Linked DNA regions of Tribolium castaneum. The protein of the gene in region 2 interacts with the protein of the main gene of each other region in a pairwise test. Links are inferred from orthologs where the notes say so. Each region holds a gene or a part of one and is shown on either strand. Other genes may lie near its edges.

Region 1 (5,432 bases), on a different chromosome or scaffold from region 2:
ATTAATTTGACAAATTAGATCAATACTTATGTAATCTGTTTAAACACCTCGTAGTATTTAAGATGTAAAGGGATATTTGTGACACAACTCCTTTCCCTACAGCTTCAAGTGCGATATTTTGCCGTAATTGGTTATTACAATTATTTTTCCTATCATCTCAGTAATGTATAAAAAAATTTGTATTTATATGACCATTCATTCTTGTTTCGCGGCTGTTTAAAACATAATAATAACAAATGTCAAAATAAATTTGATTGCAATTAGATCGGCCCTTAACATGGACAAAATTTAACGCCGGAACTTTTTTAAACTGTAATTAAAAAACGCACCAAAGGCCAGCGCCACTTTGTTGATTTTCTCCTGCCCTTTCAGTTGTATAATTACCAACTGCCGCATCCCTGATTGATTGTTTCACCACAAAACATAGTTTTGCGGGATTTGAAGTGATATTTTCTGAAGACAAATGGTTATTCCTTACGTTAAAGTGTTCAATAATTTGATTCATGCTTCCATGCATGTCATTGACTAGACCAATAATTTCTGAAAAAAAATCTACTGATTACACGCCAAACTACCGCGCAAACTTACGTTGCTTTAGTGCCATATTTTTCAAATATAAATTACATTTACTAACAAGTTTATTAAGACAGGGGTATTGAGACACAGCGTTTAAGACCTGATGAGTGGTAACTTCAGTTAAGTTCTCGGGGAGACACTCGGCGTAAAGAAAATGTAAAATTGTGCCCAAAACGTCCTCCGGGAGGTTACTAAAGGGGCACGGATCGGCGAACCAATCAATGTCACAACCTTGCAATTTTAAAATCGTCGAATGAACCTTAAACTGCAGAATGCACGTTAGAACACAGCAGGACAATCACGAACAAACAGACTTGTTTCTTGTTTGACGAAACTATTGTTAGATCTGAAAAATAGCCGTCTTCAAGGGCCGGCAGCAGAGAAAAGGGAATTGAGTGGTATTTGTCAGTGGCGTCCTCGTAAATGCGTTTACAGTGGAGCATGCACCAGCTCTCGCACGTCATTGTGAGGTTTTCGCGGGGCTCCATTTGATCACACTACAATTGTGGCTCATTTTTTTGCAAAATAAAAAATTGGACAAGTACCCTAAACTCCAAGACATGGCCCGCGTAGGCCCCGAACCGCAACACCACCCCCGATATTGTGGTGCTGTAAAGCTCGTAGGTCTCGCAGCTAAACAGGGGGATCGACTTGAGTTCTTCAGGGACCGTCCAAATGACGTCTCCATTATCATCCAAACGGAAGCGAACACTACAATAATTTCATTGAATCTGAGCCGATACTCACGACCAAAGCAATACCCTTCCAATCCTTGATTGTCACTGTAAGTCCCCGAAATGTATCCGCACCCAATTATCTGCAAATTTGCGTTTAAATTTGCAAAATAAAACGAAATGACAGCTGTCAAAACAAACAATATATCGAAGTAAACAAGCCGAATTTGCGCCCAATTGTTACGTGACTGAGCTGTCTCACGTCTGGACCTTTTTTTGCGCTAAATTATCAAAATCTCACCTCCCAAGTGCCGATAAAACCATGAAGGGCCATACTTGTTTGACATTTGTGTCTTTGCATTTGTCAAAAAGCAGGGACTTTGCCGCAGCTGAGGTTGGCTTGGCCAACCTGCGCGCTTTACCAGTGAGCTTACAAAGCTGGATCGATTTTCCAGAGGCCTCACACCACGTAGATGGACGGGTTAAAAAAACTCAATTTGAGAAATGCAAGTATTTATTGCTTGTAAGTCGTTAACACACTGTTAAAATGAAAAAAGTATTAGATTATTAAATTGGTTTGATTTAAAACACTTGTATCCTGTGGTTTTCTCGATCACACACCAGTATGTGTCCATTGGGGGTCATTGCGACACCTTCAAGGCCCTTGAACTCGCCTTTGCCGATGCCCCAACAACCGAATGAACGCAAAAATGTTCCATCGGGGTGGAAAATCTGGATTCTGTTATTTCCGGAATCAGCAACGCAAATGTAGCCTTGGTCATCCACAGCAACGCCTCTGGGGAACTTGAACTGACCATCGTCCGAGCCCTCGGACCCGAAGGAGGACAGGACTTTGCCATTCACGTCAAATATCTGGATTCGGTGGTTGTTCGAGTCCGAAACAACGACCCTGTTCGTGTTAGAAACGGCGATGTAGTGGGGATGCTCCAGTTGGCCCTCCTTGCTGCCCATGGAGCCGAACTTGCCCACGAAGGTACCATCGGACTGGAAAACCTGCACAGAAACACATTTTATGTACTTGTGAAAGAAAAATTAAAAAACTGTTAATACCAACCTGCACTCTGTGGTTTTCCTTGTCACACACGTAGATGAAGCCTAGGGCGTCGGTGGTGATGCCCCACGGGTAGTTGAAGCGGCCGTCGGCGGTGCCCTGGCTGCCGAAGGCTCGCAAGAAGCGTCCCGAAGGGTCGAAGACTTGGATTCGGTGGTTGTACCGGTCGGCGATGATAAATTGGCCAATTCTGTTGACGGCAACGCCTGCAAGACAGTCGAATTCGCCTTCGCCGTTGCCGTATTGTCCAAATTCTTTCAGGAATCGTCCGTTTGAGTCGAAGACTTGGACGCGGTGGTTGGAGGAATCCGCGACTACGATGGAGTTATCGGGGCCCACGGCAACGCCGCGAGGCCAGGTGAAACATCCGGCTTCGCTCCCCCGACTACCAATTTCGAACAGCTGTTGGCATTTCTGCAAGTACTGACTCCTAGGGGAGGTACCTGCCACTGCCACTGCGATACCTACGCAAAAGATGGATTTATTTTATCAGTTACCATTGTTATCAAAAAAAATTAAACTGTGTTCAAAACAGGACCTCATCAAAATGTTCAGTGGCTTACACATTTACGATTTATTTACAGAGGAAAGTTATCTTTCGAGAATCTCAATAAAATCAAGATTATAAATAAATTGAAGTGTTGTTTATTTAACTCGCAACTGTTATTACAAGAGTAAAAATATTTTGTATTTCTAATTTTGCTTCATATTAAAAACGTAAAGTCTAGATTTTCTCGTCGGTAAACGAAAACTAAGTAATGCTGGCTAAGGAAGTCATGAAAAACCGAGCTCAGAAGTACAAATCATCATGTTAGCGAAGTTTGCATAAAGTAGTACAGAGTAAACTTATTCCTATAATTAAAGTCGAGACAAAGTTACAAAAATAAGACGTAACTACTATGAATTACAAAAAAAAACACACACACAAATGCAGGTAGGTAAATATCTCTGTTATTTTCCACTTGTTTGGCGAGAGTTCGTCAATAATAATTAGTCCCTAGAGAACTAATTACTTTACAAGGAGATGAGAGACATACAAAATAACTCGATATGACCAAAAATTTAGTGCGGTGGAGCGTTTTAGAGCGTCTCTGCTCCAAATTGTTTGAAATTAATTGAAATTAGTTTACAAAGTGAGTGGAAAAGAAGTTGGAACATTGGACATTAAAAAACTAACGACTAAAGTTTTTCGACCAACCTGAGAAAAAAAAGTTGAGCGCCGTCCTACATATTTTTCAAATTGCGAAGATTAAGTATTGAAATTTATAAAAGAACAAAAACATATTGTAGACACCAAACATACTTTAACCAAACAAAATAAAAACATAAACGCGAAACCAAAACTATAAGTAAACAATAAAAATGATTTTTTCTCTCGTCAGTTATTTAATTTTGATAAAAGACAGTCAAAATCAATTTCCTATCGGCCTTTTTTTTCTCGAAAGCCAAATGCAGTAATAATAATTATTGCCAGATTTATTTTGGGTGAAAAAAAAACATTCTCATAGAATCATACACATTCGATGTCGCTTTGTCTTCCATAAAAATAAAAATACATCCATGTCCTTTAATTTTCAAATAAAAAATAATAGTAACCTAACTGTGATAATAACAAAAAAAAATTAGAAAACAGAAAATCATAATAATTATAAATTTTTCGATTTATATTTACGGTTAAAAATACAAGAAATATTTAAGAGGGAATAAGTTGTAGAGAATCTAATTTTATTAAAGGTTTAACCGTTTAGGCCGTAAAGACCGTTCAAGCGACGTATTCGTTTCATTTTAAACGAATGCTGAAGGAATACTTTAAAGCAATTTAAACCTAAACGGTTAAAAATAGAGATATGGCATTGGACTCACAGCCTTTTTTTTGTAGAAATTCTCCACTACTTTGTTGCTTAAGCTTTTTTGTATGTTCGGCCATATTCACTGCGTTTTGAAAAATAAGGTACAAATTGGTGAAAGCCTGAATTTTTTTAATACAATATTTGATAATTTGTTCATATTAGATACCTTTATATCTTCCTCCTGCGAATTTATTCTCTGTTGCTTGTATAATATTTAACATTATTTAAATACGTACGGCCAACTTTTTCAATGCTTTTAAATTTATTAGACGGGCTAGGGACAATAATGCCATTCGTAAGTAAGCCGAAAAATCGTCGAATTTGGCTGGAATGGTTTGATTTTCACGCTTTACGTGCGATTAGTTATACAAGTTTTTAATCTAGAAACTCACTTCTTATATATTACACGTCCTTTTCGTGAGCTTAAACTTGCTTTTGAGCTAATAAAGTTCAGTATTTTGTGACATTTTCTTTAAACTACACTTTAATTAACTTTAAATCACACAAAAATAATAGATATTTTTCCACATAAAACAATATTTCTTCGTACAAATTGAAAATGCTCGTTAGATATCTACTGAAATTTTTGAAAATAAATCTCATTCTTTTTATTAAATATTAGATTATTTATTTACTTTGGAGATAATGGCTTTTTCAAAGTTAGAATTTGCTAATCCTTATAGGTAAATGTTCAATTAATGAGTTTCTTTTACCGAACTTTTGTATTAAATAACAAATGTATTGTTCCAAAAAAGTATAACATTAATTTGTCATTTGTCTGTATTTACGAGTATTTTTTTAACAAACTGTCCTGAGATTTTCTTTGATTTTGAGCACAATTTTACATGAGGCACCTTGTGTTTGTTGCAAACTTTCATAAGAGGTAGTCAATTGTGAACAACCCCTTGTCGAAAATTTTCGTTCCTTTAGCACCTGAGGAATGCCAACACAAACCGCCTTTGTGTTGGTCAGTATCGGTGCCCTTTTTCGAAATACTTGAAAATACTAACCGGCTGCCGCCGTAGCTGCTGTAGGAGGGGTAGTGGGGGAGCCTTGCATGTTTTTTTGGTCGTCGTCCGAGCTCCCTAACTCCGTGGACGACCTCAGCGGGAGACCAAGAGACAGTCTCCTCGCCGTCGTCGAACTACTCGACGGTGTCACCGAACTACTCGATTCCTTATCTTTGCCACTGTTCCTATTCCCGTACTTGTTCTTTAAATACCTCGCCCAAGAACTCAACGCGGCCCCATCTTTCTCCGT
Region 2 (6,886 bases):
ACAAGATGTAAATCTCGGTTTAAATCAAGTTTGAAACATGTTTAAAATCGGCTTTTTGTATGGTAAGGTATTTTTCTATTTTATTTTATTTTGTTTTGTTTTTTTATTGTTTTATTTTCTCAATTAACTCAAAACTCTTCGGCAAATATTCAGAGAAAGTAAATTGGTTTTAAGAAGTCTATTGGCATCTAGAAAACCGCCGCAATATTTCTCAGTAGTATTTAAATTACCATCAATTTTTTCTTAGGAATTTCCTACATAGGTATTACTTGTTGAATAATGTTTTTTTTTTCTACTTTTATATTTTATTTGGTCTTAGACGAAATCTGAATATCAGCAATTAGTAGATTGCCTGGACCGTTTCACAATAAAATTATATTTTTTTATTGTGAGCCATCTCATTGTAGAAAAAATAGTGTATGCAGCTCGAATTTAATAGCTAGATGCTAAGACACTAAGTATACCTACATATACTTATACTTACTGCGACACTCGCTTACGGCTCGTGCTATCATTAAATACTTATTGTATAAAATATGTACTATCAATTTGATAAATACTTAATTAAAACAGGTTTTCCGACGACACTAAATATTTAATTTAAACTAAAAGGTTTAAAGCTCGTACTATCGAAATTATGGGCTGAAAATCAACCAAAAACTAGAAGAAAAATGAGGAAACAATTAAACAGAACCAAATGTCGTTTTTTGCACTTTTAATAAGAGAGTTTAAAAAACAAGATTTATTTCTTGATTTTTCGAGGGTACGTTATACGGTGACTAAACAAAAATTAATTACGGGTAAGCAACAAGATTAATTAATAAATTAACTAAATCAATTAGTAAAAAAATAGTAACGGACTAAAACTGAGCTAAGTTTTTTTCTTAATCAGTTGCACTACAGCTCGAATGGCCCATTTTTTGCACGATTTCATCACTTTGTTAAATTTGTGGCCAATTAGTAAAAATCGCCCAATTTAAATATTCTACCGCAACTTATTATTATTGGCAGGTGAATTGTTGCTAATTTCGGCCATCTGTTACGTACATTATTTTCTAATAATAGCCCAGCTTGAAACTGTTGATTTTTTAAGGCAAACAGATGGAAAATTGTATTTAAATAAAAACTACTGGTGCAATAAATTAAACCTAAATAAACAGCTACTTTGTTGTATAAAATAAATAAATTACAAAATGATTAATTCCCGACGATTTAAATAAATAATTATAATTGGTTTGGGGCCAATATTTCAGACTTAGCCCGACTGGGAGTCAAACACAAGAACCTAATTATATTCAAATTTATCACAAAATCTTTATTTTTCAAATTCGAGTCGCCCACGACCCCAGGTGTCCCGATACCAATCACAAATAAATTTTAATTAATTTTAGCCTTCACCAAAATTTGAAGCATAAAAAATGCAACTTGGCGCGCACGTATTTTTCGATTCTTCATCGAAGTGTTGGCGCAACAAATCGTGGTTGATTTTCTTCGGCTTCTTCCAATCTTCGCGAATTTTTGCACTCGTGTAATATTTTTTGTACCACGCTTTTTCGTCATCGGTGAGGCTCGAAACTCCCAGAGTTGAAATTTTCTCAAAGACGGTTTGCTTCATTTCTTTGTTCTTCTGGTAGTCTCTGAACCAGTCAGAGTCTTCGAAATCAATAACGGACTTGGTTTTGGTGCTTTTGGCGAAGACTTGTCTCTCTAATTCTTTCAAGTCTGGTGTTTCCACTTCACTCGTTTCGCCTTCTTTTTCTTCTTCACTCGGAATTGTTGTTTCTTTGATTATAGGGCGCCCTTTGCCCCTTTCTCGGTCCAGTTCTTGCGAAAAAATGTGCTCACGGTACAGCAGCGTGTGCTCAGGGCCGGCCTTACCTTAATTACACTTAAATTTATTTCATTCGTAATCACAAAACTGAAAAATTACCATGCCAAAGGTGTCCCTTGTAATCAATAAAAATCACATTCCCCGAAGGCTTATTATTCAAAAATTCGCAACACAACCGGCCTCCCCTACGAAAAGTGTATGTCCCTGGACCGTTGTACTTGTACTTTTTGATTTTTCCCTCAAAAGTGTCGTTATTTTTGAACATAATGCGCACATTTTCGTTTTCATTTAATTTATCGTCCTTCCAGTTTCCTTCGTAAAATTGCAAATCGTGCGTTTCGTAAACACCATGGCCTTGCCTCCATGCTAAACCACTAACATGAGCGCAAAAGTGACCCGAATATTTGTCCCGATTTGGAAAAAGAAACTCGTGTTCACCCTCTTGAAACCCCTTATTCATATTCCCGCCAAAAAACGCGACATTTATGTGACACTTTGACTGAGGGCGCCATCTTCCACCCACTAACCCAAGCGGACAATAACAGGTCGCTGTATCATAAACCTGCCCAAACTTTTTCAGTTCAGAAGTAAAATTATAAAACGCCACTGAGCTACGTCCAAACATAGAAAATTAACCAAATACCTCTAATATCTTTGAAATTATGTCTTTGAAATTAACACACAAAAAGTGCCCCCTTTTGTGCGTTTCAAAAACTGCGCTATTGACGTTTCTTTGTATACATGTCACGTCAAAATGTCAAAAATTTCAAACAATTTGTGTTAATTTCGTGAAATGGAGTACTTCCGGAGCGGTTTGAAGTCGGTGCTGGGGGCCCCGGCCCCCGGCACCCAGCCCACGGGTGCCGAGACCGTAAGTGCCCCCGAAACCCCAAACAGCTGTCCTGACCGCCCCTAACCCCACTTTTAGGTGGAGCGGCTTGTGAGTCGGGTCAGTACTTCGACGTTACTGGAGGACCGTCGCGACGCATGTCGGGCCCTTAAGGCCCTGTCTCGGAAATATCGCCTCGAAGTGGGGGCCCAAGGCATGGATGTGTTGAGACAGGTCCTGGAGTTGGACCGCTCTGACTGCGAAATCATCGGCTATTGTCTCGATACGTTGTGTAATATCACCTCGAAGGAGGTTTTTGAGGAGGAGAGTGAGAGTAATTTAAACATTAAGGTCAATGTGGGGGAGCAGTTCACTGAAATGTTTATCAAAAATGCCGAAAATGTGACCCTGGTTTTGAGTTTTTTGGAGGAGTACGACTTTAGGTAATAATTGCTTTAACTAATGACTGATCACACCTTTGCACCTCTTTCCTTGTGGAGATTCTTACTCTGTGATTTTACGAAATTTTGAAAATTAAAATTAAGTGTGTTTATATTTGAAAAAAGTTCGATAGAAATCAGAAATAATGTGATGTTTGAGTTAAGTGAGTAGTTTTTCTCTCACAAAAACCAACATTTTAGTTCAACAACGTACTCAAACACCTAAAAATTGTTAAGAATAACACTATTTTTGGGCAAATTTGCAATTTTGACTAATATATGTATTTTCAAACGGTTTAAATAGAGTGATACAGGTCAAAATAACGGTAATTTGTTTTAAGCAGTTTTGACAAAAAACTAAAGTTTTTAAATAAAAAATGAACTTAGACGTACTATTTTTAGTGAAATCTCGTGAAATACTATTTTTATTTCTAACCAAAAAATAAGCTAAAACGGTCCAAAAAGCAAAAATGAGTTATCATTTAATTAAGTATTTTTCGAACTAGTTTAACAATATCTGACAAAAACCCTAAGATTTTTTATTCAAAAACAAGTTTAGAGATGAGAAAAAGTCAAAAATAACATTATTATTTTTAACCAAATTGATGTTTCGTTTATTTTTGACAAAATTTCAATAAATAACCAAAGCCAGTAGATATACAGTATATCTACTGGCTTTGTAAATAACAAGGTAAATCGAGTCAAATATCAATTTTGATTTGTTCTTCTAGTTTTTAGCAAAACAAAGCTAAGTCAAAATTAATTTCGATTTTTTAAACAGACATACTGTGTTTTTTGCAAAAAAATAAGTTTTTAGCTGATAAACATACTAAAAATACAGAAAATAATTTTGTTTCTGACTAAATCACAAGCTAAAGCGCTAATTAACAACAAAAATTTGATTGTATATTTTATTTGTAGTGTTTTTTGGCATATTTTAGCGATATCTCGCAAAAAACCTTTAGATTTTACTTTGAAAACGTGCTTAGAGGTTGGAAAATTATAAAAATGACACTACTTTTACGCAAATTGTTTATTTTTGTCGAAATTGTGTTCTAAAACGAACTACATAATCATGTATTTTTATGAGTTTTAGTTTTCAATTTTAGCCTAGTTTTTGGAAAAAAATAAGTTTTTACTTTAAAAATTTTTCAGTTTGTTTTATTGAAATTTTGTAAATTCATTTCGTTTCTGACTGGAAAACTAGTAAAACCGCTCGAGAAGAGCAAGAATAGTACAATTAATTGCATAACTTGGTAATTTTTAGACCTGTTTGAGCGAAATCGTTCAAAAATTTTGAAATTCTAGTTCGAAATCGTACTTAGGGGGTAAAAAAAGATAAAAATAACATTATTTTTGACCAAATTACCATCAATTTCGAATTATTTTTATAATTTTCTTGATCGATTTTATTGATTGAAACTTGCTTAAGACAAAAATAACATTATTTTTTGTTTAATTTAATGATTTTCAAGCTTATTTTTAACGAAAGTGCTAGCATTCCTAACTGTAAAACAAACTAAAATGCTTATAAATGCAATATAGTAGAGTACTTTTTTTGTAATTAGATAAATTTACGGTCGGTTTTAACTGAAATTTTACAAAATTATTGAAAATTTAATGTACTTAGGGGCTCAAAATAAGTAAAGACAACTCCAACTGCCATCAGGTTTTGTGATTCGTCGGCTTATTTTGGCGAAATTTCTCTCAGAAACTATCAATAAGTCGACTGAAGCAGATGAAATAAGATCGATTTCGATCTATTTTAGAATATTTCTTAATTTTTTGGTTTCGATTTATTAAAAAGTAAAAACTACACTGAATTTACTGAATTTACAGCTTTCACCAGAGAAATACGTGTTAAAGCACGCGAAAACGGTCTAAATTAAGATATTTTCACCCATTTAATAATGTTTGTGTTTGATCGGATGAAGTCGCTTATTATCGGTAAACTAACCTTTACCACAAGGAAGGAGGTATTCGGAAGTAAAATTACCGTTGGGGGCGCCACTGAGCTAGGTCGAAAACAGTAACCATAAATGGCGGGAAAATGTTTATTCGGATATTTTGAGCGTTGTACGAATTTTGGGGCTTCACAATTATTACATTGCCTATGCGGAATGATTATTTCATCTTTGATGCAAGAAACTTATGTTGACAAATGAGAGATGACGAGGAAAACACGAATAACGAATGACTGTTTGGTTCACTTTCTTTATTGGAAAATTATTACAAAGACATTGAAAAGCCTACCTTTTGGCATAATTTACGTTTAAATGTATCAGCAGTTGTTAATCTTTATTGTAGTTTTGTAGATTTACCGCAGCATTTCATGATTTTTTCAGTGGAAAATTCTAACCTAAAATTCATAACACTTCACTAATTTATTGGTTTCTTGAGCCAAACTTTGTGTTCGCTGTGATCCATTACTTATAATCTTTAATTAGACAACTGTTTGATAACACTTTGTAATCAAAATTTAAATATTTTTCACTTTTTATCCACTTTCAAGTTCCAACAATAAACACTTTATACCACGAAAAACTACAGAACCAAAGTCAACGCTAGTATTTACCACCACGTACTTTTAAAGTAATTCTTTCTATTGTAAGTAATTAACACTATATACGCAAAATTATTGAACAATTCATTAAATGTCAGTTAAATGTGGCATTACGAAAATTTCTTTACTGTTTTCGACATAGTTCAAAAGTCATCACCAGAGGGCGTCTAGTTAATTTTATTTCCGAATTGAGCTTTTAATTATCTTTCAAGTGTTTCGAGTGTGGCTAAAGTAGAGGTTCCCGCGATTTTAGGGTTAGATGGCCAGCTGTCAAGCTGCTCACTTCACTTCTGGCAAGTAAACCTAAAGAAATCCAAGATGTGATCCTCGTGAGCCCCATGGGGGTTTCAAAACTTATGGATTTGTTGGTCGAAAGTCGCGAAGTGATCCGGAACGACGCTTTGCTTCTTTTGATTAACTTGACAAAATCAAACGCCAACATCCAAAAAATTGTGGCTTTTGAAAACGCCTTCGACCGATTGTTTGATGTTATACGGGAAGAGGGTTTTACAGATGGGGGCATTGTGGTTGAGGATTGCATGCTACTGATGCTCAACCTCCTCAAAAATAACACAAGCAACATCAATTTTTTCAAAGAAGGATCATACATACAGAAGTTAGCCCCCATGTTTATCCTCCCGGACAACTTGGAGGAAGTTGGGTGGAGCCCCCAGAAAGTGTCTAACATGCATTGCGTCCTGCAATTGGTCAGGACTCTAGTCTCGCCCACAAACCCAGTCCAGATTGTCACTTCGTGCCAAAAGACAATGCGAAATGCCAATTTACTTGAAGCCCTTTGTAATATTTTAATGGCAAGTGGGGTCCCCGCCGATATTTTAACCGAGACTATTAACACAGTGGGCGAGGTAATAAGGGGCAATTTGACCAATCAGGAGTACTTTGCGGGTGTCATGGCGCCTTCAAACCCCCCACGACCCGCCATAGTAGTATTACTAATGTCCATGGTCAACGAAAAGCAACCCTTTACCCTACGTTGCGCTGTTTTGTATTGCTTCCAATGTTTCCTCTTCAAAAACGAGATTGGCCAGGAACAAGTGGTCCAAACCCTCCTCCCTAGCTCCACCAACTCGACTCTAACCACCGGGCAACTCCTCTGTGGGGGTCTGTTCAGCGCAGACTCCCTCAGTTGCTGGTTCAGTTCGGTGGCTCTAAGTCACACCCTGATCGAAAACCCCGCTCAGAGAGAACAACTCCTGAGAGTC

Evidence for each region.
Region 1: the proteins of p115 (region 2) and tn interact in a two-hybrid assay, tested with the Caenorhabditis elegans proteins (2 studies listed by BioGRID). The link is inferred for Tribolium castaneum from reciprocal best matches to the Caenorhabditis elegans genes uso-1 and nhl-1.

What each region holds. Positions count from the first base shown.
Region 1 is NC_087395.1:21,349,702-21,355,133, reverse strand, and holds the end of tn (RING finger protein nhl-1), read right to left. Parts: coding exon 5,183-5,432; intron 2,787-5,182; coding exon 2,326-2,786; intron 2,265-2,325; coding exon 1,833-2,264; 3' UTR 1,747-1,832; downstream 1-1,746. Other genes in the region: uncharacterized protein LOC100141518, read right to left, coding at 385-540, 589-841, 891-1,073, 1,122-1,287, 1,338-1,393, 1,552-1,611.
Region 2 is NC_087399.1:6,664,017-6,670,902, reverse strand, and holds the start of p115 (general vesicular transport factor p115), read left to right. Parts: upstream 1-2,541; 5' UTR 2,542-2,624; coding exon 2,625-2,702; intron 2,703-2,759; coding exon 2,760-3,103; intron 3,104-5,916; coding exon 5,917-6,886. Other genes in the region: radial spoke head 1 homolog, read right to left, coding at 1,388-1,878, 1,931-2,291.